Mus musculus: one gene and its partners. The protein of the gene in region 1 interacts with the protein of each later gene in a pairwise test. Links are inferred from orthologs where the notes say so. Each region holds a gene or a part of one and is shown in the gene's direction. Other genes may lie near its edges.

Region 1 (4,178 bases):
TATTTAACTGCCTCAGTCACCCAACCTCTTTCTTCTCATGTGCCAGATGTTAAAGACAGAGGAGGAAGAGTGCAATAGTACTCAAGCCTCAGCTGTTGAAATGTTTTTATTGGGGCTCACTGTTCTGGGTTATTATTTATTACTAGACTGGCAAAGCCTAACCCCTTAGGTTTTTACAGGAAGTATGCATATTTTTATATAAAAACAGTTGTGTCTAACCCACATTTGGCTGTGTTTGTTGCCTCAAAAAAAAAAAAATTGCAGCTGTTAGAACTTTTCCTCATTTGTCTCTTACGTTAAAGGCCTTGCTGGAGAGGATGGAGCACAGAACAGCCTTGACAGTCTGTAATTAGTGTACAAATATTTTAATAGCATAAAGTAAGTATATTCCTTTTATTTTGAAACAAAATGGTCAGACACTGCCTTTCATGTGTTTGTTGCCTGTGGCACTCTTTTTAAAAAAGACTGTTACATATTAAAATAGTGTACATATATATATATATATAAATATAAATATTACCTCTTTGTGTACAGTTGTGATAGACCAGACTGAAAATTTTATTTTTTGTGTGCTTTTTATAAAAAAAAAATTAATACACTAAAGAGAATCTTGCTGTGATTGTAATGTACCTATGTAACTTATTTACTTTTGAATGTTCTGTATCTTAAGACCTTTTATTAAATAAGGTTTTAAAAAAAATTCATTGTTGAATACCACATTCTTATAGGGGTGTTTTTGCCGTCTGGGACTGATAGGCCTTGTTTTGCTTGAAGAGAACTTACCCGCCTTTTCGGGGCCATAAACATTCTGTTTTGCTATCTTGTATACTCAGTAAGGATAAGAAGGCAATATGTTTGCAGTTTGCCTGGCTACAAAGGTAAGTAGTCACGGGGTTTTGTGTACACACACACACACACACACACACACACACACACACACACTTTAAACAAGAAAGCCAAGTCAGACACTCACAGGAACCAGTAGATGGAATTCTCTTTCCTAGTTTTGTGGGGAGGAACCAAGTAGTTGCAGAGTGGGATCAGGTGGTTCCCGGAAGTCAGAGTTAAAGACTGAATTCATAGAATGGATGAGCAATATGAGATAAGTCCGTCGTGGTAGATGCGTATCAATAAAGCCAGCTTAAATCCACGGCAAAATTAAATAAAGCATGCGTAGCAATAGCTAAGAAAGAATCAGGGAAGGCGGGGGGGGGGGTGTAAAAAGAAATGCGCCGTCATAGAATAGACTCCTCAAACCCCTTCTTGGCACCATAGCAACCGCCAGATCCTCTGGAGCCCGCGTATCTCGCGTCGTCATGGACACAGTTGTCACGGTGACACTGGGGGAGACAAGCGGACCGGTTCCGCCCTCCACTGCAGCTGCACGCCGGCCGTTGCGGGAGCGCGCGGACATAAGCGCTAGGCAGAGCTGCCTCCAGCCGAGTTTCTCCCCCATCCCGTGCTTCCTGCCGCTTGGGTTCCCGGTGCTCGGAGTGCCGCCTCTCCCCACGTAGCCAAGCCACGGCCTCGCGTGACCCTCAGCCCGCCGGCGTGCCGGGGAGAGGTGGGAGGAGCTGCCACGCCCCGCGACCGCACCCAGCCATCTCCCGCCCGGAGTCATCAGTCTTGAGCCCACCTTGCTCCCTCTCTTTAAGCGGTGACGCCAGACACAGCTGCAGCCAGTTCAGCCCTCCCTGCCCGGACCAAAGGGGGCGACATTCGAGTGATAGGCGGAGTGTCCCGTGGCTCCCGACCCTGACTTGGGACCCGGAAGGGACAAGAAGGAACTCTGGTGTCTTTTGGTAATTGTGGTTGCCTGAAGCTTGTCGCCCCCTGGCCTACCGGGGGAGGAGAGCATGTTGTATTGTCCTAGGCCCTATAGCCTCGTGAGCCAGTCCAAGCAGTGTCTGTAGAACTGGCACTTTTAATAGTTGGGTGAAATGGCTATGACACTATTGGAAGACTGGTGCAGGGGAATGGATGTGAACTCTCAGAGAGCTCTGTTGGTCTGGGGGATCCCTGTGAACTGTGATGAGACCGAAATTGAAGAGACCCTCCAAGCTGCGATGCCCCAGGTATCCTATCGAGTGCTGGGGAGAATGTTCTGGAGGGAAGAAAATGCTAAAGCAGCCTTGTTAGAGCTCACTGGGGCAGTGGATTACTCCCTGATACCCAGGGAGATGCCAGGCAAAGGAGGGCTCTGGAAAGTGGTGTTTAAACCCCCCACTTCCGACGCAGTTTTTTTGGAAAGGCTGCACCTCTTTCTAGCTAGGGAAGGGTGGACCGTGCAAGATGTTGCTCGTGTGCTTGGGTTTCAGAACCCTGCTCCAGCTCCAGGCCCGGAAATGCCAGCAGAGATGCTCAACTATATTTTGGATAATGTTATTCAACCTCTTGTTGAGTCCATATGGTATAAGAAGCTGACGTTATTCTCCGGGAAGGACATTCCCGGGCCTGGCGAGGAAACCTTTGATTCCTGGCTGGAGCACTCAAATGAAATCATAGAGGAATGGCAGGTGTCGGATATAGAAAAGAGACGGCGGTTGATGGAGAGTTTGAGAGGCCCCGCTGCTGACGTCATCCGCATCCTCAAGACCAACAACGCCGCCATAACGACCGCAGAATGCCTGAAGGCTCTTGAGCAGGTCTTTGGGAGTGTGGAGAGCTCTAGAGATGCACAGGTCAGATTTCTGAACACTTACCAGAACCCAGGAGAAAAGTTATCTTCGTATGTTATCCGTCTGGAGCCTCTGCTGCAAAAGGTAGTAGACAAGGGGGTCATTGATAAAGATAACGTGAACCAGGCTCGCTTGGAGCAGGTCATCGCTGGGGCTAACCACAGTGGGGCCCTCCGAAGGCAGTTGTGGCTGGCCGGGGCTGAGGAAGGGCCTGCACCCAACCTCTTCCAGTTACTGGTGCAGATTCGAGAGGAGGAAGCCAAGAAGGAGGAGGAGGAGGCCGAGGCCGCCCTCTTGCAGCTAGGCCTGGAGGGGCACTTCTGAGTCCTAGGACTGGCCAGGCTGCTTTTGATATACCTGTGACGTTTTAGTAAGCCTGCCACTCAAAGCAAGCACCCAGCCTCCTCCTGGCTTGGTTTTGTTTCCTGAGGGATGGGATGGGGAAGTCAGGCCCGCATATTCCTGTAACATTCACAGAAGTGTGTGATTGTCAGGAGCTGCAACGGTAAAGGTGGTCCTTACTGCCTAAAGTGAATGCTTGATGCCAGCCCTCCTGGCGACATCTCTGACAGCTGTGCACAAACGTGAAGCTGTGACACTTCCTGTCAAGGTGGTTGCGAAGCTGCAGGTTCTGATGCTAACCGCGCACCAGGTTCACAGACTGTACAGTACAAACTCTTGTGTTTGTTACTAACACTGTGGATGGTTTTACTGTAAATTGTTCCCAATTTGTATCGATGGAAAGAATGTGATTCTATTAGAAGATATTACTCATCTTGAAAAATGCGGATTTCTAATTCCTCACGGCTCAACGCTGGAATCAGTTTCCCTGAAAAGGATCCTCGGACTAAAAGTGGCATGTTAGAAAAAACCAGGCCTTTACCGAGCTGCACAATCAGTTCCTCACGGTGGAAGACAGAAGTCCTAGGGGGAGTGGCCGTGGCCAGTCTACACTTCCCCCACTTCAAAGACTAGTCATTTAATAATTGGTCAGCGCTAAGGGTTCTAAGTTTGAAGTTATTGAATAGATGTATACAAATAAAAATTTGAAAATTCTCATTTTTCCTGACACGTATAAAATTTTTCAGTTAATTTAGCTCCGTATATTTTTCTCCTAACAAGGACTTTTGTTCATGTAAAACAAAACAAAACAAAACAAAAATTACCCTCCTTGCTATGAATTTAAGTTGCAGTGTCACCTATACATCTTGGTTGGGTGGTTCCTTGGTTGTTTTGTCACAGTCCCACTCTGTAGCTGAGGCTGGCCTGAAATTCACTCTGTAGCCCAGGCTGACCTCAAACTTGCAGCGGTCCTGGGATTACAGGTTTGAGCCACTACCCCTAGCTATTTCTTGTAGATACTGTCTCACTGTGTAGCATGGGCTACTGCTCTTGAACCTGTGATCCTTCTGCCTACCTCTTGGGGGCTGAGATTCTAGGCAGACACTACTACATCTACCTTTCAGTGAGTTCAATTTCCACATGACTTCCTCAAGGCAA
Region 2 (3,734 bases), on another chromosome or scaffold:
GTGCTCCCTCAGCGTTCCGCTTTGCTTTTTTTTCTCCCTCTTCCCTGTGCCAGGCCAACCCACGGGATCCTGGTTCTCTCGCCAGGCCCGCGACAGAGTGCGCTCGGGCTCCGGCATGCGCAGAGTTGTGGTGAGGGACTTAGGTCGGGTGTGCTTGGGATGCGCTGAGCTGTGCACGCTGCGTGAGAACCTGGACCGCCCTGCGAGCTAACCTGAGGTGGGGCCAGCCATTCTGCCGCCGCTTGTCCCTTTGTACTTCTCCATCTCCTCAGAGCTGGGGTAGAGAGTTGTGCTGATGACCCTGACTGTTCTTCAAACCCTGCTCAGAGCAGTGGTGAGGGGTAACCGTGATGTTACTTCATCTCACAGCTCCTCGGCATCCCACAGGTCTCCCCACTGTGTCCTCAGAGTCTTTCTGAACGCGGAGGGTGGCGAAGGGCATTGTGGGGGCGTTATGTAAAAGCAGGACCCCAACCGACAGGCTCCCCCTTGGGTCCTCGCGCTACTGGGCACGCGATGCTTTACTACGAGGATGCTAGAAAAGGTTCTAGCGCGGGAAACTTGAACCTTATGGATGTTTTGTTGTTGTTGCTCCTGCGCATGCCTCGTTCTGCCCTGTGGCTATTTGATTGTATCCAATCTTACAGATTACAAGAGCGACATTTTGCGGTACAGAAGTGACAATGCAGCTTCCCCAGAAACCTCCCGGAGTAATGTCATGCCTGTTTTTAATCTGGGAAAAGGGGACCCCTAGATAAGATCGAGCAAGATTTAAAAGGTCGACCTGTGCGGGCCAGTGGTGGCGCACGCCTTTAATCCCAGCACTTGGGAGGCAGAAGCTGGCAGATTTCTGAGATCGAGGCCAGTCTGGTCTACAGAGTGAGTTCCAGGACAGCCAGGGCTATACAGAGAAACCCTGTCTCGAAAAAAAAAGGGGGGGGGGTGTCGACCTTATATTTCCTGTATGTGTTAGCGGAATGTTTTCAGAGAGAGCCTGGCATTTTTGTTTGTAGGAAGATGGGAGTTGAATACAGAACCCATTAACAACTGTCTTGTAGAATATTTTTTTCCTGTTACCCTTTTTCTTTTCTGTGTTATTGATAGAATCTAGAATTCTCAAATTTGAAACAAGCATTCTACACAGATTCATATCTACTATGCCCTCATGAAATTTTATTAACATCATGACAGGATCTGTTGTTCCTGGGGTCTGTTTTACCCATCCCATCGTGACAGGATCTGTTGTTATTCCTGGGGTCCCTTTTACCCATGAGGCCCGGGCTCCACAGAATCCTAACTATGAAGTCAGTTTTGGGATGGGAGGCCCATTTTAGTTCTAGGCTGCTTTCCCATCTCAGCGGGCCCCCAGAGGTGGTGCTGGTCATCTTCACAATAGCTACCTGAATGGTTGGATCGCTTGCTTGTCACATCCTTGCCTTGCCCAGTCTTCATTTTCTTGTTTCTCTCACAGGCATGTCTAGGCCATCCTTCATCGAATTTACCCCAGCGGCTGACTCCAGTGACCTCTGGAAGGATGGGCAGCAGCAACCACAGCAGGAGAAAGCAGAGCCTGTCCTGGACGGGGCTGCTGCCCGGGCTTTCTATGAGGCTCTAATCGCAGATGACAGTAGTTCCTCTAAGCCCCAGAGAGCTGAACCTATGAGGGAGAGGAAGAAGAAGAGAAGAAGAGTGACTAGGGAGCCTGCAGCAGCAGGAGTCCCCAGACAAGGAAGAGCACTTGAGGATGAAGACAGGATGGCCCAGTGGATCCTGCTGGCAGCCCAGAATGGGGATCTGACAGAACTCCGGAGGCTGCTAGAACCCCAAGAGGCAGGGGGAGCTGGAGGGAATATCAATGCTCGTGATGCCTTCTGGTGGACTCCCTTGATGTGTGCTGCCCGAGCAGGCCAGGGCGCCGCTGTGCGCTATCTCCTGGGCCGAGGAGCTGCCTGGGTTGGAGTCTGTGACCTGGGAGGCAGAGATGCTGCCCAGCTGGCTGAAGAAGCAGGCTTCCCTGAGGTAGCCCGTATGGTCAGAGAGAGTCATGGAGAGACAAGGAGCCCTGAGAACCAGAACCGGTGAGGAGGGAGCCTTCACTTACACCCATCTTTATTGTGTTCTTCCTTTCCTGGGCACCTCATACTAAGGGCCCACAGCAGCTAAAGGGGGCTATTCATCCTCTGGCATATTCAGTCATAGAGTAACAATGGGCGTGGTCTTTGTGCATTTGAATCTTGGTTCCATTTATTTGCAGTGCCAGCCTAAAGTCTGCAAATCTCAGTCCTTGTCTGAGAATTGGGGCTAAGACTTTTTCCTCAAAGGGGTGTTAAGATACAGTAGGTTAATGTGGAAAGAGATGGGGTAGGATGGGATGGTGCTTGTCACACAGTTTGCACTTTATAAATGCCAGCACTACTCATTATTCCTGAGAGCTTGAGGCCTACCTGACAGTATTCCAAATATTCCCTACTGGGAAGACCCTGGGGCCCCTTTCCAAGACAAGATACAACCAAAAGATGCTGCTGACATTGGGAGAAAGGCAAAAAGTACTTTGCTCTGCTCTGCCTGGTGCCTGAACAACTTGAGGCTCTGTTCATCTTTTTTTTTCCTCCCCTATAACATATTTCTTTCTCTGCAGATCTACCCCCTCCTCGTCCCAGTTCTGTGAGGACTGTGGTGCCCACTTTGAAGACTCCAACCACCACACATCTACTGCTCACCTGCTGTCACTGTCCAGGAGACCCCAGCCCTCCAACCTTCCCCTTGGGGTGCCCACTTCCAGTCCTGGCTTCAGGCTACTGCTGAGAGGTGGCTGGGAACCAGGAATGGGGCTAGGACCCCGGGGTGAAGGCCGTGCCAACCCTATCCCCACTATCCTCAAGAGGGACCAGGAAGGATTGGGTTATAGATCCCCACCCCAACCCCGAGTCACACACTTTGCAGCGCGGGATACCCGGGCTGTGTCTGGGAGAGAGAGAGTCCCTCGAGTTGCCACACTGAGTCAGAGGGAGAACAGAAGGCAAGAAGAAAAGGGCAGAGCCTGGGAGCGAGATCTAAGACTGTACATGAACCTCGAGTTCTGACTGATATGGACTGGCCCTGGTCTGTCACTCGCTGGACTTGGGCCTCTGACTTGGACACTTGGACTTCCGAACCCTTAGGCCTTAGCTGTTGGGCTCTGATTTTAGAGAGAAGGGCGGAGAGTTGGGAGATAAATAAACTTCCTTCCTTGTGGTTTGTTTACTTTCTTGAATGATATAGTAGGGAATTGGAACAAATCTGAGAGTCACATAGAAGTCTCACCTGAGCCAAAAGGACAAGCTCTCCGGGTGACAAAAGAGAGTCCCCAGTCCTGCTGGCTGCATTCTACCTGCTCCTTGAATCCCCGCCCCCACACACACATTAGGAATTGCCCCACTTTGTAAAACACCCCTCTGAGTATGTGTCTAGGCCAGTCAAGTCAGTGACAAGTATCACAAACCAAGTGTGCTATGTGTTGGAGAGGGGCGGGCATAGCTTGGTTAGAGCACCTGCCTAACACTGGGAAGACCCTGGGTGGGGCCCCTCTCCAAGACAAGATGCATCCAAAAGATGCTGCTGACATTGGGAGAAAAGCCAAAGATACTTTGCTCTGCTCTGCCTGATACAAACCTTGAACTTGAGGAAGCCAGCTGTGATGAAGTGTAATACCTTGTGGTAGGGAAGTTAAAAGTCCCCAGAGAGGAAGTAGAGTC
Region 3 (3,500 bases), on another chromosome or scaffold:
GGACAAGTGCAGTCCTGGTGCTCAGCTACTTGGTTCAGCTGTTTGGAATGCACCAAAAATAGGGAAGATGTATAAGATAGGCCAAATTTTTGCATCTGTGTATGGTTTGCATGCACGTGCATATGTGTATTTACAGACACGTGAATGCATGCGCATGTGTGAGCGTGTGCATGTAGAAGGCAGAGCATGACATCAGGTATTTTTCTTGGTTGCTCTCTATCCTATTTACTGAGATTGCTTCACGCCAAAGCTGAGCTTGCCTAATTGCCGAGTCTTAACTAGCCATCTCTCTCCGTTGGATCTCTGAACTCTGGATTACACATGAGCCACCATTTTATATGGTTAGCTTTTCTATGAGTGCTACAAGATCTGAACAGTGGTCCTCAGACCTGTGCAGGAAGCACTACAGCCAACAAGCCATCACCCGAGGTCCATGATGTAAGAAAAATTTTAAACCTAGACAAGCTTTTGCCAGGCTGGCAAAATTGCTCAGTGGGTAAAGGCGCTTGCTGTCAAGCCTACCAGAATGGGTTTGATCCCTGGGACTCACAGGGTGGAGTCAGAGAGCCAGCTTCTGTAAGTTGTCCTCTGACCTCCATATGTATGTTCTAGCATGTGCCCCTCAAACTTCCACACATTCCATTAATCAATATGATTTTAAATATGAAAGACATACTGATATTCATGTACAGTGAGTGTTCTGAGAAGTTGGCCTACTGTTGTCAGAAATGGCTGACTTCCTTGAGAGATTTGAGATCCAGTCCAAATTTATAAGATCCAGATTTCTACCATGGTCCCCAGGCTGTTGCCTCTGTACGGTTAGTATTCCGTTCTGCAATGTAAACTTCTCGGAGTCAAGCCTTGGAATTTGCGATGCTGTATTTGTGATGCTGGAATTTGAGGTGCTGTAACTCTCTTGATGCGAATGGGAAAACGTGCGCACTCTCAGAGAGGCCGTGTGAGTGTATGTGCCATGTTCTTTGTGTCTGTGCCTTCAGCCTGCAGCCACCTGTCATGAGAAGGTTGTAAGTGTCTGGAAAGACCCCAGCGAGTCTCTCGGCATGACCGTCGGAGGGGGAGCATCCCACAGGGAATGGGACTTGCCCATCTATGTCATCAGTGTTGAACCCGGCGGAGTCATAAGCAGAGACGGGAGAATAAAAACAGGTACAAACTCAAGAGAATAAAGGCGCTGGGGTGGCAGAGCCTGGGGCGGAGCTAGGAGCTCGCTGTTGAGTTCCTTAATTGCTCTCCCAGAGTCAAGGAGAGCATGTCAGAGGGAACTGGCCATGACTGCTGTGTCCCTTTGAGCAGGATGAGCACGAGTGTAGCAGTAGTCTAGGCTCACCCCTCTTAGTGCATGGAAGTAGGCATGAGGCAGCTTTGCTAGGGAAGCTAGAGTCCCTGGACTTTCCAGGCTGAGCAGACAGCCACTACACCCATGAACAAGGTGCCGCTAAGGCACAATTTAGTTCCACGCAATCTAACAGCCCTAAGGATTCTGTGGATTGTACCATTTGGTGGGGCTAAATGGGGTGAATCTATTGAGAGATCTTGATTCAATGGTATAGTTAAATATCATTAGTGGGACTTTGTTCCTTGGTGAGAAATGGACCTCTCTTAGCCACTCATGTTCTGGGCTCCTCTACATAAAGGAAAGTACCCAGTTTACCTTGTGAGTACGTGTTCTCAATAACGCTGTTCAAGCACATGAAGAGGTCACCTAGGTAAAGGAACAGTTGTGCTTTTGAAGGGCTCAGATTTAAGACAGAAAAAAGTCTCTCAAATACATGCACTTGAGTGTGGCATAGTATATATAGGATTTAGGCAGACAATCAAAGGTGGTTTTTTTTTTTCTTTTTTCTTTTGTCTTAAGTCAGCAAGCATTTGAGGATACCCCTTGTCATTTTCCTCCTGACTACAATTATTCTGTGTGAAAAAAGATGATATATAAGAAGCAAGACAAAAAAACAAATAACAACAACAACAAAAACCCGAGAGATAGTTGAAAGACAAGCCATCGAGGGCAGGGAGATCCATCTTAAATTCTCCTGCTGCTCAGCAAGCACCCGGGGTGAAGAATAAGCTCTGACAAGAAGTGACATTGTAGCATGTCACATATAGAAGCAGTTTTGCACAGAGTAGGTGCTTAGCTAATGCGACACACAGAGATGTCTTGACTAGAAATGATAACTATACACCTCTGTGAAAGCTCAGGTTCAGGGCCATTCTTTATCTGCCCTGGGCTCCTGTGCCAGACACTAACTCCTGCTTCGGTCCCTGTTTGTACATAGCAGGCTCTCTGCGGGCACTGGAGCCTTATGCCAACTGCTCTCATTGTGTGCTCAAGAAACTAGGAAACTAAAAGAGTGAGATTGCAGCTTGTCTTTGGTTAAGTAGTCAAGGAAGCTATTTAAGTCAGGCAACAGATGAACGTCACTAGGCCATTGTTAGAGACTCCCAACAAGCCATTCCCACATGCTCTACCATCTGCTAAAGGGGACCCAGTCTCGTGTCTCTATGAGCTGAAGATATGCGCCTCTCCTCACCCTGCCCCTGTGCCCGGTCAGCCGCTGTCCTGTCACACGGAGCAGAATCCCATTTGCACTCAGTGAGGTTGCTTTTGCTTCTCTGGCCTCAGGTGACATTTTATTGAATGTGAATGGGATTGAGCTCACAGAGGTCAGCCGGACAGAGGCCGTTGCCATACTGAAGAGCGCACCCTCCTCAGTGGTACTCAAAGCCTTGGAAGTCAAGGAACAGGAGGCCCAGGAAGACTGCAGCCCAGCAGCCCTGGACTCCAACCACAACGTGACCCCGCCTGGTGACTGGTCCCCATCCTGGGTCATGTGGCTGGAATTACCACAGTGAGTCCCAATTCAACACCCCAATGGATTCTATTTCTTAATCCACTTTCACTGTCTTGGGCCAATTTATGGGCACTAGCATCTTGCTAGGACCCAGTCTTCTCTGTGGGACTGTTGGGAATAACTGTCTTCTGTTGGCAAATGAAAATCCCTATAGAAATCTTAGGGTAGAGGTGGAAGTCTAGAAAGAGAAGCTTCTAGATATTCTTGAAGTGTTTACAGTTACCAGATGGTTCATGTAGCAGGGGGTTCAGCTGACTGACAGACATTCAGCCTGTGTTTCCACACTCATGAGCTGAGTTGCATCTGCTCACACCAAGCTTCACCTTTGCATGGGTATGAGTGGGAGCTGCAGACCGGCTGTGGTCCTACTCTGAGGCTTCCAGAAGCTCTGACTATACGCACAGCAGCGCAGCAAAACATCATGGCTTCAGAGAGTTACGTGTCTGCTAGCTGGGGATGCTTCTCACAACATCTCTTTTCAGTGACTCCTCTTGGAAAGTCCTTTAGGAAGCAACTAGGGTACCATTTTTCTGAGGTATAGCAGGAGAGCTCCACAAAATGGCTCTGAACATGAACTGACTAGTTAAAATGGACAGATAAATTTGATGTTTGCTTCCTTGGACTAGAGCA
Region 4 (4,300 bases), on another chromosome or scaffold:
ACAGGTGAGAAGGAAACACAGCAGGAAGTGGAGGTTAGCCTCATGGTTGCTGACTGCTGAAAGGATGGAGCTTCTGGGCTCACAGTTTTCCTACCTCTCCCTTCCCAAGCAGGTGGGATGGACCATATAGACTGCGTCCAGCGCCAGGATCTCACTAAAAATGTCACCTTGCTCTTTGTGTGGATTTGAGCCCTTTTTTTGTTTGTTTGTTTGTATCTTGCTTAATCTCTTATTCAGTGAGAGAAACAGTAGCTGGCTTGGAAGTCCTGTTTCAGCCTCCTGGAGCTGAGGAGTCTTAGCTTTTAGCGAATCCTGAGCTTGGAGTGGGGCTTGCCCTTAGTAGATGAACAGGAGCCTGGTCAAGAGGAGTGTGCATGGCTCCCTCCCTGGCCAGCTTCCATAGGACACCCTCCCTGCCCACCCCTGGCAATAGCTGGCCTGCCTCCTATCTCTGAGGTCACAGCTTTGTTTCCTAATGGAAAGGAGCTGGGAAACGTGGCTCTGGCCAGCGAGGGAGAAGGGGCCCTTCTGTGTCCCAGTAAAGACCCAATTGTTACTGAAACCAAACTGGGCTGCCATTCTCGATTACTCCCATTGCTCTTCTGCTCTTCACTTCTCAGGTGCCACGTTTTAGCCCAGAACAAAAGCTGCTGTCGGACTGATTTATACTCCAGATTTTACTTATGGGGTCTGAAGTGTTTTTTCCCCTCCGGGACTGCCCCCTGGGGCTCAAAGTTACCACAGAAACCTCCAGGCCTCCTTCCCTTCGTCCCTGTCCTTTGATTCTGGTTAGGGGTGGTCTCCAGGTACCGCTGGGGCAGTTTCCCCGAGGTTTCTCAGTCCACCTGCCCACTGGAGGACCAGCTGGCTGGAAGGATTTGCCAGCCAGCACCGTCCAGGAGGCCACAGCTACAAGTTACTTCTAGGAGCGCCTGTGGGCGGAGGCTGGCAGTTCTGAAGGTGGTGGTGGTTCGCTGCGTGGCTCCCTCCAGCCTCTTTCATCTGAACCGTGGCGCGCTCGTGCCTCTAGTTAATCAGCCTTCCAAGCCACACCAAGAGTCATTTCCCGGGGGTAGGCTCTGCTGGAGCCTGGAAACTAGGAGCTGCCTGCAGTCTTGGGGTCTCCTCTGCCTGTGAGCTGCTCCTTCCAGTCCAAGGGTTAGGGCCAGAAAGGAGGACAACTTTGGAGTCAAAAGACTGACCACTGTGGTTAGCACCTGAGAGAACCTTCAGTTTCTTCTCTTGCTACGCCACCCCCTTCGGGTACAAGTCCCAAAATGGTTTGCCAGTTTTCGTTCCCGTAACTGGAGCGTGGGGAAGCCCCTCAACCCTTCCAGAGAGCCCATCCCGCCTCAGGACTTGAAGGCACACTTCACCAGGTGAGTGCAGTTCGTGCAGTTCCCGGTGGCAACGCCTGGAGTCCCTCCCCGCCCCCCACCCCGCCCCCTCCCCGCCTCCGGCCGCTGTGGCGCAGACCTTGACTCACGAGCTGCAAGAGTCGTAAAGGGTCCCCAAGCCTCAGTGCCGGGTAAGCAAGGCAGCGGGTCGCAGCCCCCTCCTGGGCGGGCCTTCGCGTCCCGCCCCCGGCCACCACTCGACACCCTCTGCCTGACGTCAAGGGGTTGGGGGCGGAGAGCGGCGGTGGCGGCGGCTGCAGCGGAGAAAGAACCGGCGCCCGGCGCGGTGGAGCGCCGAATCCGAGCTCAGGGGCGCCGAGAGCCGTGCTGAGACCGAGGGGCGGTGGCACGGGACAGCCTTAGCGTGCTGGCGGGCGGGCGCAGTCTGGAGCGGCGCGGGGGCAGGGGAGGACGGTGGCCGGAGTCAAACGCGAGGGCAGCGCCCAGGGATTGGAGCTGCACGAAAGAGGTGAGTGAGGCCGGAGCGGTGGGGCCCCGGGGCCGCTGCTTTGTCCCCTTGCTTGGGTAGGGGCTAGCGCGCGCGCTAGAGGACAGCGTCTAGGGGTGCAGGGCGGGGCGACAGCAAAGACAGCTGTCCGATCCGGGTCCCTCTTGAGTCCGCCGCGGGCTGCCCAGTGGCGATCGGCATCAAGGCAAGCAGTGCCTGCAGCTCCACTGGCCGGAGCAGCGGGAGCCTGGGGGTACGGACAGCGCTAGGGGCAGTGGGGGACCCTTGGGCTGTCCAGCGCGCGGTCCGAATCTTTGCCAGGCTCGCGAACTGCTCGGGTTCCCCCCACCTCGACGGAAAGTTAGGGGCGGGCTTGGACCGTGGCCGATGTTGTGGGATCGGATTTCCCTAGCGCGGCCCCCCGCCCTCCCGTTCTGCTCCGGAGGCGGGCTGGCACTGAGAACCAGCCCCCTAGCCAAAGCTCCGCCGCCCGGTCCCTCTCTGGAGCGCCGCAATCCACGACCGGGTGTGCAAGTGTGGGGTGCAAATCCTGGTCCTGCACCCCTCCATCCCCTTGGCTGTCCGTGTCCCTTGCTTCGGGAAGAGCTTGGGGGTTGGGTCACCGCTACGCCTGCAGATTCTCGGAGCGCACCACCGGGTTTTGACCCCAGCCTAGGGTAATTGGCAGAGAGGAAACTGAGGGTGTGTCAGGGGGGACTGCTCCGGGGAAGGCAGCCCCAGCCCCCCGCCCTTCCCGCGCGGAGGTTCTTGGCCGACAGGGGGCGTCCGCAAGCCCGGCTTTGCCACGCTCCCAGCGCTGCCGCTTTGTTTGCATTCAAATCCCCGGAGCTGGGGGAGGGGAGAGTCCACAGTAGGGAGACCGAGACCGGGTCTTGGCTAGGAACCTTTGTTTTGGGGTGCAATCCTCAGATTCTGCATCTCTGTTCCCAGCCCCTAGCGTCTAGATTAGTGGAGATCCGTTCCGTTTGCCTACTGCCTAGTGCATGGTCCCCGAGGTGCAATCCCGGAGTTAAGAACGTTCGTCAGAGCCGGGGAGGAGGGGACGCAGCCCTTGACGATCATTTGTGGGCATCCCCTGTTGTCCAGGAGAACCCCGCTTCGGCCTCCCCAACCCATTTCACTTCCCTCCACGATCCCGCTCTCGCGGAGGCGAGGAGATTCCCAGACAGAAGCCTGGAACTGACTCGTGGCCCGGTCGCCTCTCTGCGGGAGGGTCAGTGTCTTGTAGAAGGCTGTTGGAGAAACAGGACTGGTCCTGGTCATTTCCACGCCCATCCCACCCACTTCCTGCCTCCCTCTTGGGCAACAAAGGGGCCTCGGAAGCTGGGCCCATTTGGTTCCCGGCCCCACTCCTACTCCAGCCCTGCTGATGTGGAACCGGGTTTGGGCTCTGCCCGGCTATTGTCTGCGCTGGGGGAGGGGACGGGCTGGGGCCGGGAACTCTACACGCTGCCTGCTTCACCAAGTCCCCCACTGAAGCTCTTTGCCCAACCGGCTGCCTGCGGCTGCTGAATAAGGGGTATATCTCCCCGAATTAGGTCTTGGGGCTGGCCTGGGTCCCACTGGTAGCAAGCCCTGTTTTTTATGGTTATTGTAAGAAACTCTGAAACCTTTAAGGCCAGAAGGAGCCAATGAGGGGGAGTCCCTCTTTTATTTTTTTCCACACAACTCCCTGTTGAAGGGAGGGAGTAGGGATGGCCTGGAGGCCACAGGCGGCTTTTGATGACTGCCCACGCCTAGTGCTTGCTGACTAAGTTCCTCTCCTTGCTCTTCTGGGAGACCCCCAGGGCTCTTGTGGGCAGAGGCCAGTTGCAGGATCAGGAGGAGATGTAAAGGCTCTGGGGGAGGTTTGTTCCAGTGTGCGTCCTGTGTTGCTTGTCTCTTGGTGCGGGCCCCCTTCCGGTCTGTGATGCTGACCAGTTTCTTTTCCTTCAGCAGGGCTGCTGGACTGAAGTTTAGACCCTGGGTGTCTGCCATGGCCCCACACTGGGCTGTCTGGCTGCTGGCAGCAGGGCTGTGGGGCCTGGGCATCGGGGCTGAGATGTGGTGGAACCTTGTGCCCCGGAAGACAGTATCTTCTGGGGGTGAGTGCCTGAAGCATGGGAGGCAGGGCCAGAGGGAGGCTGGGATAGACTGCTGGGGGAAGGGCGAGGAGGGGAGTGATGCTTGCTTGCAGGAAGGAGCTGCTGCTGAGGAATTACCCCCAAGCATGCACCTTTACACCGATATGTGTGGCTGTGGCTTTCTAAGAAACGCGAGTGGCCCCAGGGGCCCAGAACTGGTAGTGCTGGTCTAGACCTGGGCTTTGCCCCCTTCTGACACTGGGATAACTTTATGGGATCTCTTACCAGCGCACCCCCACCCTCACCCAGACCTGGCTGGCCTGGTGTGCAAGGGAGGTAGTTTCTGAATCAACCTCCCTGTTCCTCACTTG
Region 5 (3,500 bases), on another chromosome or scaffold:
GGCTGAAAGTCTCACCTTTAGTCCACTAGGCCGTTTGGTAATCAGCTCCATCTTGCATCATTCCCAGGGTGCTTTCAGTCTTACCCCTCCTCAGTGTAGTGGCCTGTGGGGCCTGCTGTGTATAACAAAAAGGCACTCAAAGTGACTGCCTAAGCTTTTAGGAACCCTGTGAAAGGTCAAGAAGGAATGAATGTGTTTTATTATGCTAGAGAGATTTTTAAAATATGTCTGGTTGGTTTTGTTAAATATTAAAGTGAGAATTTGGCTAATTTTGATTGTAGAATGTGTTTGGGGTTGGGGGCTGTCCCCTGTGACAAACACTGGGAAGAAGCAGTTGAAGTGAGGTAGTTTGTTTTGTCACATGGTTTCCAGCTGGTGGACTACTACTGGGTAAAGGCCTGTGGTGTGGCAGGGAGGGTGCAGCAGAGAGCTGGTCCTCATGGATAGCTGCTGTCTCACTTCTGCCTGCCACCCCAAAGGCAAATGAGAACAGGGAGTTTGAGCTATAAATTGTTTTTTATTTCAGAACTGGTAATCTGGGGCTACATCTAATCTTCAGCCAGCAAATTATATGGGGTTGGAGAGAACAGAAACAAGGTGGTTGAGACTAGGCCGGGGCCTAGCAAACACAGAAGTGGATGCTCACAGTCAGCTATTGGATGGATCACAGGGACCCCAATGGAGGAGCTAGAGAAAGTATCCAAGGAGCTAAAGAGATCTGCAACCCTATCGGTGGAACAACATTATGAACTAACCAGTACCCCGGAGCTCTTGACTCTAGCTGCATATGTATCAAAAGATGGCCTAGTCGGCCATCACTGGAAAGAGAGGCCCATTGGTCAGGCAAACTTTATATGCCCCAGTACAGGGGAACGCCAGGGCCAAAAAGGGGGAGTGGGTGGGTAGGGGAGTGGGGGGTGGTGTGGGGGACTTTTGGGATAGCATTGGAAATGTAACTGAAGAAAATACGTAATAAAAAAAAAAAAAGAAGAAAGAAACAAGGTGGTTGATCCTTTCAGAGCTCAGATTTGCCTCTGGTCAGATAGTCAGCAATTGAGAGTGGGCCAAATGACTATGTCTTGTTATTCCTTTCATTCATCTCCTAGTCCTGGTTTCAAACAGTTCTTGAAACAGAATAATTAGTGTCTGCTGGTATCAGGGTTATATTAACAAGAGCTCTGGTCTTCTGTGGTTGAGGTTAACTCTGAACAAACAATCAGTAGTGTGTGCTGTAGGCTATTAGTAGGGTGTACATGCAGATTTCTTTGTCCAGTATGAGAGTACAAGTATGTCTTCTTAATACACATATAAAAGTCCCCTATCTTAGCATCAGGAAGTCTCTTCAAATGTACTGCACCGAATAGCCCATTGAGCTACTGGCTCATTAGCACCATGATAACCTTCATCAGTGTCACCAGCTGATGAAGGCTTTTGGGTACACTTCATACCTAAGCCGTAGCATAGGAATTAAAGCTGAATAGTATAATAAATAATGAATAACTTATAATGAATAAGTATAACTTTATAAATGAATAATAGGAATTGTTTTGTTTTTAATGGTTTTTAAAATATAGAGTTAATGACTTCATATTTTAGCACTGACTTCTGATTTTCATTTTTTGTTTTTTCCTCTTCTAAGGCGGACTTGGAGGACTTGCAGGTCTTAGCAGCTTGGGTTTAAACACCACCAACTTCTCTGAACTCCAGAGCCAAATGCAGCGGCAACTTTTGTCTAACCCTGAAATGATGGTCCAGATCATGGAAAATCCCTTTGTCCAGAGCATGCTCTCAAATCCTGACCTGATGCGGCAATTGATTATGGCCAATCCACAGATGCAACAGTTGATACAGAGAAATCCAGAGATTAGTCATATGCTTAATAATCCAGATATAATGAGACAAGTATGTAGAAAAGTAGTTCTTTTTTTACTTAAACTAAAGGGTGTTTATGTGTGTGTGTGTGTGTGTGTGTATGTATGTAAATATAAAATGTTATTGCCAGAGATTGCCTTGTGTATTTTTTATAAAGTTAGAGAGAATCCCAACCATTATTTAGGGAAACTCAGCAAAACAATATTAATTTTGTTTGTTTGAGCTCTGAGTTTTCTGCTATGCATGAAAATTCTTTACAAACTCTCCTTAGAGACAGGCTTTTTGTGCCGGTTTCTCCTTTGGTGGTGGAGGTGGTGGGGGTCCTGGAATGCAGGGTGGAGAGGTGATGTCAGCACCTTGCTCCTTACACGTTTCAAATAAAACAGAAAACCATTTTTAGGCGGGAAAAACCCATCGAAATATATTGTATGAAAAAAAATTTCAGTGAAAACATTAGATTGGGTTGGTGGCACACAGCTTTATGGTACACAGCTTTGATCCCAGTACCTGGCAGGCAGAGGCAGGAGATCTCTTGGGCTTGATTAAGGTCAGCCTGGTCTACATTGTGAGTTCTAGAACAGCAAGGACTATGTAAGAGAAATCCTGCCTCAAAAATTGTGAGGGGAGGTGGGGATGGGGGGTGGGCAGTGTAGGTTTAAGTCCATTTTTGGAGATGGCCTGTTTGTGATAGCCTATGAATATATTTTGTGTTTAGAGATGAAATACACCAGGAATCTTAAGTACTTTACTAATTTAAATATAGCAGAATAGGTTTAAAACTCTTAATTAGCCTTTTTGGCTCTAGAATTGGATGATACCTCACCCTTTAAAATAGAACTAGTGTTTCCCAGAACTGAGCAGATGAGATCAGGCCAAGGCAGGCAGCACTGCGCAGTCGGAGTCCTGATTAAAAAAAACAGCTGTTTAAAGTTCAGTGTGTCTGCCTGGAACTTAGCACACGTGCCTCCCACAGGCATTAGCTGAATGCAGAAGGAGTTCCTTGAATAGTTCAGTGCTTTCTTTTAAACTGGAGATTTCTTTCTTAGACACTGGAACTTGCGAGAAATCCAGCGATGATGCAGGAAATGATGAGAAACCAGGACCGAGCCTTGAGCAACCTAGAAAGTATTCCTGGGGGCTATAATGCCTTACGGCGCATGTACACCGATATCCAGGAGCCTATGCTGAATGCTGCTCAAGAACAGGTGAGCACTCGTGCCCAGGCTCAGTCTGTGACTAAGGGTACTGCTATGTGCAGAATGTGGCTGTACTGAAAAAAATCATTCTGTAATTGATTTTTTTTCTTTTTATTACAGTTTGGTGGTAATCCATTTGCGTCCTTAGTGAGCAGTTCGTCCTCAGCAGAAGGGACTCAGCCTTCTCGAACAGAAAATAGGGATCCGCTCCCCAACCCGTGGGCTCCGCAGACTTCCCAGAGCTCACCAGCCTCCGGTACCACTGGCAGCACCACTAACACCATGAGCACCTCTGGTGGCACTGCCACCAGTACCCCTGCTGGACAGAGCACCTCGGGCCCAAGCTTGGTGCCTGGCGCAGGAGGTATGTGTGCCTCGCATTGATTACAAGACTGGTGCTGAAACTATTTATGTATCTGTGTGCATCCCTTT
Region 6 (3,500 bases), on another chromosome or scaffold:
TTTTTTTCAGGATGAATTTTTTTTGGAATTTAAAAAAAATGATTTATTTATTTATTGTGCATTGGTGTTTTGCCTGCATGTGTTTCTGTGTGAAGATGTCAGATCTTGGAGTTACAGATAGTTGTGAGCTGCCATGTGGGTACTGGGATTTGAACCCTGGTCCTCTGGAAGAGCTACCAGTACCCTCAACCGCTGAGCCATCTCTCCAGTCCCAAGTCTTTGCTTTTTTTGAACTGTTAGTAATTGCTTTAACGCCAGTGGCTGCAGAGAAAAGACCAGATGAAAATATGTCCATGTGTCTCCCACAGCAGTGGCTATTTTAATTTTACTATTTTTGGTTAATATTGAGTTTTCAAAATTTCCACTATTAACTTATATCACTTTTATACCACAAAACTATCTATCTATCTATCTATCTATCTATCTATCTATCTATCTATCTATCTATCTATCTATAGACAATAACTATGAGCTTGCTGCTGAGGCATGAGCCTGCAATCCCAATACTCAGGGGACAGAGGTTGGAGGGCTGTGAATTAAAAGCACTTATTAATTAAAACAGTTTCATACAATATACTTTGATCATATTTTTCCTCTTCCAACTCTTCTCAGATTCTTCTCAACTCCCTCCCCACCTAACTTTGTGTTCTTTCTCTCTTAAAAAAGAAACAAACAAACAAACAAAAACACCAAAAGCCCAAAACCAAAACCAACCAGTCAAACAAGAAAAACAACAAAAAACAAAAAACCGTGAAAATTAAAACAGTAGCAAGCAAGTCAGAAAATCAGGTTGGGTGTGGTAGTGCTCACCATTAATCCCAGTATCCTGGAAGCAGAAGTGGGTGGAACTCTGTGAGTTTGACACCAGCCTGGTCTACAGAGTGAGCCAGGACAGTACTACATAGTGAGACCCTGGAGAGATCAAGGCACGTGGGGTGGGGGAGAACAATAATACAAAAAAACAAAAAACAAAAAAAACCAAAAACCAAAAAACAAAAAAACAAAAAAAAAGTCAAACAAAACAGAGGAAACATGGAGACATGGAGTTTATTTTTTGTTGGCTGTCTGCTTGTGGGCATGGAACTCAATAAACATAGCGACACCATTGGAGAAAGCTGTTTGCCCCTTTCCCAGCGAATATCAGTTGTAAATAACTGTTTGGTTAGGGGTGGGGCTTTGTGTCCACTTCCCTTCTCTGTGCTGGGATTTTGCCTGGTTTGAATCAGTGTGGGTCTTGTATGTCCTATGTCTATGAATTCATATATGTAAAGATTATGACACACTCAATGGCAAGGCTTTCAGGCCAGCCTGGGCTACATAGTGATACTACCTTAAAAAAAAAAAGTTAGCATTTACAAAAAGCTAGAAAAAGAAACCAAGCATAGACCAGAAAGGCGAGCAAAGGCTTATGCTTTGAGTTGTTCCCTTGATGGTGACAGCTTTGAGCCCCATGCAGAGGCCGCTCCTGTTGGGATTACAGTGCAGGCAAAGCGAAGGACCATAGGGCTAAGCGTGCTCAGTGTGCACACAGGAAAAGGAGGCTGGCCCCGGTGGCCCTTCCCCCTCTTCTCCGCTCTCATGCTGTGGATCTACTCCTCAGGACTTGTGCCGAGAGCTCCATGCCAAGGTAGAGGTGGTGGATGAGGAGCGCTATGATATTGAAGCCAAATGCCTCCACAACACCAGAGAGGTAGGCCCTGGAGGTGGGGGATGGGACCGCCTGGGCGGGCACTTGTGAGGCTCTCCTGGGTCTACGGAGCCTGGGAGGCAGGCTCTCAGCATCCACCCCAACACCACAGGTCTGGAGATGGGCAGGAAGGATAGCCACACATGAAAAGAACAAACTTCCTCCCCACCTGCCACGTGAGCTCTTCAGAAGCTGCCGGCTTCCCTCACCCACACAAGCAATCAGATGTCTGTTAATGACATCTTACGTTTGTGAAGGGCTTTCAAGTGCAGTTGAATCCTTTGATCCTCCCTACACGCCTGCGGGTGACACGGGGGCTATTACCTGACCCTGACAAATGAGGACATGCAGACTCACAAAGGCTAAGCACTTGCTTGGGCTTGGGTCACAAAATGGGGGTCCCAGTATGCACACTGTGCTCTGTGCTCCAGTTCCCACTCCACGGGACTCAGCCCTTCATTGTGGAGTGTGTGGGCATTAGGACCAACCATGGGCTGCTTCTGAGCATTGGCCCAAGGTGAGCAGGCACTTCCGTACCCTACCCTGCTTTCGAGGGTGCTGTGTGATGCCATTAAGCTCCAGAGAACTCCCTTGCAGACCACACCCTGGGATTATCAGGGTGTAGGATTTAGGGCTCCTCTACCTGCTGTGTCAGTCAAGGCTCAGCTGCTGTGCAGGCCCTGGGCAGGGTTGAGTACTAAGAGCAAAGATGGAGGGAAGGAGAAAGCAGTTTACACCCCACACAAGGCTTCCAAATGGGAGTAAAGGTTTATTGGCTTATCATTTATTTGTGACTTGGTTATGGGGAAGAGGCAAGGTTAACTAGTGGGCGTAATCTGTAAAAGTTCATTTAGAACATTTAGCGTGTGTAGTGATTGCTTGGAAAAGGGTAGGAGATTCTGAGCACCCCAGATGGTCTAGCCTGGAGCCCGGAGGACTTGTAGGATGGTTCTAGCTGGAAGCCCAGTGGTTGGATCCTCAGGGTGAGAACTCTAGGTCAGAGCCTGGCTCCTTTGCTCCCCCAGATCAAGGACCTGAAGCTGAAGGTGCTGGACCTCCGTGGGAAGTTCAAGCGTCCTCCCCTGCGCCGGGTCCGTGTCTCAGCCGATGCCATGCTCCGAGCCCTACTGGGCTCTAAGCACAAGGTGTCCATGGATCTGCGGGCCAACCTCAAGTCTGTGAAGAAAGAAGACACAGAAAAGGTGAGGGCCCCTCTCCTCAGACCCGCCTACTGGCCTCTATCTGCCACTTCTTACATTGCCTGAGGCGCTCTAGTCAGTGTGTGAATCAGGATATTCTAGGATCCCCTAGGAGGCCAGTGTCAGAAGAGAGACTACTGGCTGCTTCCAGTCTGAGGGGACAATGGGATGAGAGAAAGGCTGACTGGGAAATTAAAACTTGCTTCCCATATCAGTTAAGGGGTAACCATTACCCCTGTCACTTCAGCTTCTCGTTGTGGCTATAGGAACATGAGTGCATAGAAATTGGAGAACCGAGTTCAATTAACTTGCCTAGCAAACAACTACTTCAAATTTGTTGGTCTCACAGAACATGTTTAGAGCTGACAGGCTGTGAGGAGCATGGTGAGAGAGCAATTTATCTGGCCCAGAGAGCTTAATAAAGACAAACAGGCCAAGCCAGTATGCTGACAAAATTGAAAACAAGTTAAATGAATCAGGAGAGGCTTCTTGGAGGAGGTGACCTTGAACCAACTGCAGGGTGTCCCACAGGAGGGTGTTGTGGATCCTGGAGGAGAGGTTGGCCTGTCATATACTGGGAACCAGTTTTGTGACCCTGTGACAGTTACCTAGAC
Region 7 (4,246 bases), on another chromosome or scaffold:
AGGCAAACAGGTTGATTTTTTTTTTGATACCTTGTTGAGACTTGGGATATAAAACAGCTGTCTACACATGAGCAGTTCCATAAGATGTGATCAGTGCTGAATACGCTTTTCATTAGGCTTACGTAAAAGCATTTTGCAGCAGTGGAGTGAAGTATCCACACACAGCTAGTGAGAGTGTAAGCCGAAGAGAAGCAGCTCTGCCTCATGTGCCCATGTGCTCATGCTCACTTGTCAAGCTGCTCGATCAACTTTTAAATTCTACTTTTGAAATTATGAAAAAGTATATCTAAAGATACTCAGATGTGTATTAAAGTAATATATTAAAGTAATATAAACCACGTGAGTTATGTTGAAAAGTCATAGAATGGTTAAGTTATAGAATCAAAGTAGGTTATTCTGCAGCTATGGACATGTTTATTAAAGTGCCATAATTTAGAAATTTGCTTATACAAAATGTATTTCTGAGGTTGGAGAGACAGCTCAGCGGTTGGGCACTGGCTGCTCCTGCAGAGGACCTGTGCTCAGTTTCAGTACCCCCTGGCACCTCACAACTGCCTCTAACTCCAGCTCCAAGAGACTAGATGTCCTTTTCTGGACTCTAAGGCAACAGGCACACATGGTACACGTGAATATATGCAGGAAAACACTCAAACACATAAAACAATTTCTAAAAGAATGTATTTGCAACCCATATAATTCTGTATCCATCTTCCCTCATATTAAAAAGTAAATTATATATAGATAAATTATATATAGATTTTGAGTCTGTGGGTATAAAAAGCACAAACACGGGCTGGCAAGATGACTCAGCAGTTAAGAGCACTAACTGCTCTTCCGAAGGTCCTGAGTTCAAATCCCAGCAACCACATGGTGGCTCACAACCACCGATAATGAGATCTGACGCCCTCTTCTGGTGTATCTGAAGACAGCTACGGTGTACTTATGTATAATATAATAATAAATCTTTGGGCTGGAGCGAGCAGAGATCCAAAAACAAAAATTAAATCCCCAACAACCACATGAAGGCTCACAACCATCTGTACAGCTACAGTATACTCATATACATGAAGTAAATAAAGAAATCTAAAAAAAGAAAAAAAGAAAAAGCACAAACACACCTGTCAACTGTCCTATGTAATCAAAATATGGCCAGAAGAGCCAAGAAGTGCGCCCGGGTAGGTTCACTTTTGGTTTTTGTTTTAAGTAAAGCCTGAAGCATTGCCACAGAAGCACACTTGGCAGGTTCAAGACGAGTCAACGATGTTGACGATGCATGTGCAAAGAGTTTAAATCTAAACCTAATTTCAGACTTAATTTTCTGGTTCCGGTTCACGAGTCCAGCCGGACCGCGGCAGGTACGGACTACAACTCCCAGCATGCAAGAGGTTCTTACCCACACTCCCGGGCTCCTGACGCGTACATTTCCCAGAAAGCCGAGCGATCACGCTGGCGCGCGCGCGTGCGCTCTGGCGCCAGTAGTCTCTTTTCATTTGGGTTTGACCTACAGCCGCCCGGGAAAAGATGGCCGCGCCTGCAGCGTCCGGACTGTCTCGACAGGTAGAAGCTGGCGGGAGGCTCCCTCCCAGGGTTGCGGGTCCCCGGCTCCCATCGCCGCGTGTGAGGCCGTGGCTGAGGGGTCAGGCAGCCCGCCCAGGGTCGTGGGGCCCGGCGACTGCAGGCAGCGTGGGGCGGATCCGCGTTTCGTCCCCGTGGGGAGTGGGCACGGATTTCTCTGTCTTGACCTTGACATCCAGGACTCACTGCATAGCGGAGCAGCTGGCAAGGGCATGGGAGAGAGCACTGGGGAGAGTACATGCCTGTCCTTGCTGGTAAACCTAAGGGCTGCCTGCTGCTTAGGATTTTGAGTGTTGGAAAAGCGCATCCCCTGTGTTTATAAAGAAGGGGGGAAGGGCTAAACGTCTCCCCTTTGGCTGGCAGCTGGTGAGTGATGGCGAGCTTGCAACAGGCCAAGTCCAGCAGAACCTGGAATTGGGTGGAAAAAAATACGTGCCTGGGTCATCTGCCATGATAATTTTGTATCGACAGCCGTCATGGTTTTCATCTGCACCATACAGAATTATTACTAAGGCGTTAGAAAGTTTTTTAACCCTCATAGCCAGTTCCAATCGAGTACATTCTAGTCTAGAGAGAGTAGTATATGACTGTGACCTGTGCCCTCGCAAAACGCTTTTTAAACTGGATTCCAGGCTGCTCCAGTGACAGACACAGTGCCTGAAGCCTGGTGCTGTATCAAGAGATCTTTGGTCTTAGATAGCATTTCAGTTCCTAAGCAAGTAGGTTTCCTTGAATTAAGACTGGACTCATTTCATGTTCATTAAAGTTTTTCTCAAAGGTGATGTAATATAAATCCTCCGCTTTCATAAAGCATTCTTCCCAAATGTGATAAAGCTCTTAATTATTTTGAAAAATTCCACTTTGGGAAGTTAGCAGCTTTTCTCTCTCAGCTATCCAGGGAGGAAGGTGTTGGGAAGGCAGTTTCTGGAGGGATTTGGGGTGATTCTCAATAGGGAGTGTATAACAAAGAGCAGCTCCCACTCATATAACCTGTGTGATGATAGAAAGGAATTGCGCAAGTATTTGATTAGATTATTTTAACACATTGCTAAGCTAATGCAGAAACCCTGTCTGATCTGTTTTCTTTTGTTCTAAAGGTTCGGAGCTTCAGTACATCTGTGGTCAGGCCCTTTGCCAAGCTTGTAAGGGTATGTCAGCTTACTTATTTGTGTGTGTGTGTTTGGAAAACAATGAAAGAGTGAGTTGAACAGAAATACGTTGAAGTGTGTAATTAATAACCTTGGTCTGCAAGGGTGGCAGTTCCCAGATGAGTGCCTGGGTGCAGGGGATGCTGTTGGGCGCCTGTCACACAGGGTGGGCTCAACCCTAGACTTTAATGTTCTAAAAATAACTTGTTTGGGCCCAGCAAGAGCTCAGCAGGTAAGGGCTGGATGGCAGGCCTGAGGGTGTGAGTTCAATCCCTGGAACCCGGAGGGGGAAAGGAAAGAAAGACCTGAAAGTTTTCTGTTCTGTTCTCTGCGTGTAGTGCGTGCGCGCGCACACACACACACACACACACACACACACACACACACACTGTATGTATAAAAGACTCTTAAATTGTTTTTCCTAGCAATCGTCCATAGACAAGCTAGCCTTTCATTCTTTTTTTTATGAAGGAACTGTTTCTAACAAAAGAAAGTGAAGTGCCCAGATTCTCACACAGTTGATACTCTGTGGCAACTCCGAGTTGCTCAGATGTGAGGCCTGCTTGCAGCCTGCACCTTGTTTCCCCAAGCAGAATCAGTACTGACAGGTACCATTCCCAGGCACCAAGAGTCTCACCATTGATTGCAGAGGTCTATTGGCCTATTCTTTTTAAACCAGAAGTCTGACTGACCTCTGGCCCAAGACAGATTGAAGTATGGCTGCACGTGCATTTATTCTATAGTTCATTGTTACTAATTCATGCATGGCAGAATCTGAAGATATCCTGGGCTGCTGTATGCTCTCGGGCAACCAGGCCAGTGATCTGCACTCATGGTCCCCTTAGGAATAGCAGAATACAATGCTCTAGGGACGTTGGGTGGAACTTACAGCAACACACGCTACGCTTAATAACAGCACCAGATTCCTTCAGCCTCTGTGAGTGGAGCCATTTTATTCCTCCTGAGAACTTCATAAAACACCATGACCGTGATAGGGACACATCCACATGTGCACTTCTTACTGCTGCCCCTGCATTGCTAATCTTCACAACTGCCTGCCGTCGTACTAAACTCCTGTGCTTAGGGATGGCATTGTCACTGAGATCAAAGAAAGCCAAAGCTTGCTGTAACATTTGCAGGTAGGGAGAGCTGGGAGAGACGCTGGACACTGCCCTCTCTGCCCCTCTAAAGGTAGAGGGTCCTGGCCAGGGAGACGGCCCTAGTTTGTGAGTTCTCATTTAGGACTGCACCTTGGCTTGGCAGTGGGAATGCAGTCTTGGAGTTGGGGGTAATTCTGTTCCTGACTTAGCTGCCTCACTCCCCCCCTCTTACTCTTGTTTCCAGCCCCCTGTTCAGGTCTACGGCATCGAAGGCCGCTATGCAACCGCCCTGTACTCTGCTGCATCTAAGGAGAAGAAGCTGGACCAGGTGGAGAAGGAGCTGCTGCGCGTAGGGGTGAGCAGCTCTCTGTTGGGCTTGTTCCTGTGTCCGGTCCTAACGGGGTACAGCCTATAAAAAGAACC

What was found.
Region 2: the proteins of Pnma1 (region 1) and Gpank1 interact in binary tests that used the Homo sapiens proteins (3 or more experiments, as listed by UniProt). The two-hybrid records come from large-scale screens. The link is inferred for Mus musculus from reciprocal best matches to the Homo sapiens genes PNMA1 and GPANK1.
Region 3: the proteins of Pnma1 (region 1) and Lnx1 interact in binary tests that used the Homo sapiens proteins (3 or more experiments, as listed by UniProt). The two-hybrid records come from large-scale screens. The link is inferred for Mus musculus from reciprocal best matches to the Homo sapiens genes PNMA1 and LNX1.
Region 4: the proteins of Pnma1 (region 1) and Sema4c interact in binary tests that used the Homo sapiens proteins (3 or more experiments, as listed by UniProt). The two-hybrid records come from large-scale screens. The link is inferred for Mus musculus from reciprocal best matches to the Homo sapiens genes PNMA1 and SEMA4C.
Region 5: the proteins of Pnma1 (region 1) and Ubqln1 interact in binary tests that used the Homo sapiens proteins (3 or more experiments, as listed by UniProt). The two-hybrid records come from large-scale screens. The link is inferred for Mus musculus from reciprocal best matches to the Homo sapiens genes PNMA1 and UBQLN1.
Region 6: the proteins of Pnma1 (region 1) and Tnni1 interact in binary tests that used the Homo sapiens proteins (3 or more experiments, as listed by UniProt). The two-hybrid records come from large-scale screens. The link is inferred for Mus musculus from reciprocal best matches to the Homo sapiens genes PNMA1 and TNNI1.
Region 7: the proteins of Pnma1 (region 1) and Atp5o interact in binary tests that used the Homo sapiens proteins (3 or more experiments, as listed by UniProt). The two-hybrid records come from large-scale screens. The link is inferred for Mus musculus from reciprocal best matches to the Homo sapiens genes PNMA1 and ATP5PO.

Annotation. Positions count from the first base shown.
Region 1 is NC_000078.6:84,145,690-84,149,867, reverse strand, and holds Pnma1 (paraneoplastic antigen Ma1 homolog), read left to right. Parts: upstream 1-1,378; 5' UTR 1,379-1,940; coding exon 1,941-3,002; 3' UTR 3,003-3,737; downstream 3,738-4,178.
Region 2 is NC_000083.6:35,121,582-35,125,315, forward strand, and holds Gpank1 (G patch domain and ankyrin repeat-containing protein 1 isoform 1 precursor), read left to right. Parts: upstream 1-1,370; 5' UTR 1,371-1,404; coding exon 1,405-2,078; intron 2,079-2,638; coding exon 2,639-3,083; 3' UTR 3,084-3,234; downstream 3,235-3,734.
Region 3 is NC_000071.6:74,605,404-74,608,903, reverse strand, and holds part of Lnx1 (E3 ubiquitin-protein ligase LNX), read left to right. Parts: exon of another isoform or gene 1-998; coding exon 999-1,167; intron 1,168-2,641; coding exon 2,642-2,867; intron 2,868-3,500.
Region 4 is NC_000067.6:36,555,582-36,559,881, reverse strand, and holds the start of Sema4c (semaphorin-4C precursor), read left to right. Parts: upstream 1-1,500; 5' UTR 1,501-1,866; exon of another isoform or gene 1,867-2,232; coding exon of another isoform or gene 2,233-2,522; intron 2,523-2,796; exon of another isoform or gene 2,797-3,079; intron 3,080-3,096; exon of another isoform or gene 3,097-3,385; intron 3,386-3,801; exon of another isoform or gene 3,802-3,804; coding exon of another isoform or gene 3,805-3,841; coding exon 3,842-3,950; intron 3,951-4,300.
Region 5 is NC_000079.6:58,191,654-58,195,153, reverse strand, and holds part of Ubqln1 (ubiquilin-1), read left to right. Parts: intron 1-1,639; coding exon 1,640-1,902; intron 1,903-2,918; coding exon 2,919-3,077; intron 3,078-3,188; coding exon 3,189-3,432; intron 3,433-3,500. UniProt on the Homo sapiens protein: Plays an important role in the regulation of different protein degradation mechanisms and pathways including ubiquitin-proteasome system (UPS), autophagy and endoplasmic reticulum-associated protein degradation (ERAD) pathway.
Region 6 is NC_000067.6:135,805,921-135,809,420, forward strand, and holds part of Tnni1 (troponin I, slow skeletal muscle), read left to right. Parts: intron 1-1,600; coding exon 1,601-1,690; intron 1,691-2,712; coding exon 2,713-2,889; intron 2,890-3,500. UniProt on the Homo sapiens protein: Troponin I is the inhibitory subunit of troponin, the thin filament regulatory complex which confers calcium-sensitivity to striated muscle actomyosin ATPase activity.
Region 7 is NC_000082.6:91,928,831-91,933,076, reverse strand, and holds the start of Atp5o (ATP synthase subunit O, mitochondrial precursor), read left to right. Parts: upstream 1-1,446; 5' UTR 1,447-1,521; coding exon 1,522-1,557; intron 1,558-2,672; coding exon 2,673-2,723; intron 2,724-4,067; coding exon 4,068-4,178; intron 4,179-4,246. UniProt on the Homo sapiens protein: Subunit OSCP, of the mitochondrial membrane ATP synthase complex (F(1)F(0) ATP synthase or Complex V) that produces ATP from ADP in the presence of a proton gradient across the membrane which is generated by electron transport complexes of the respiratory chain.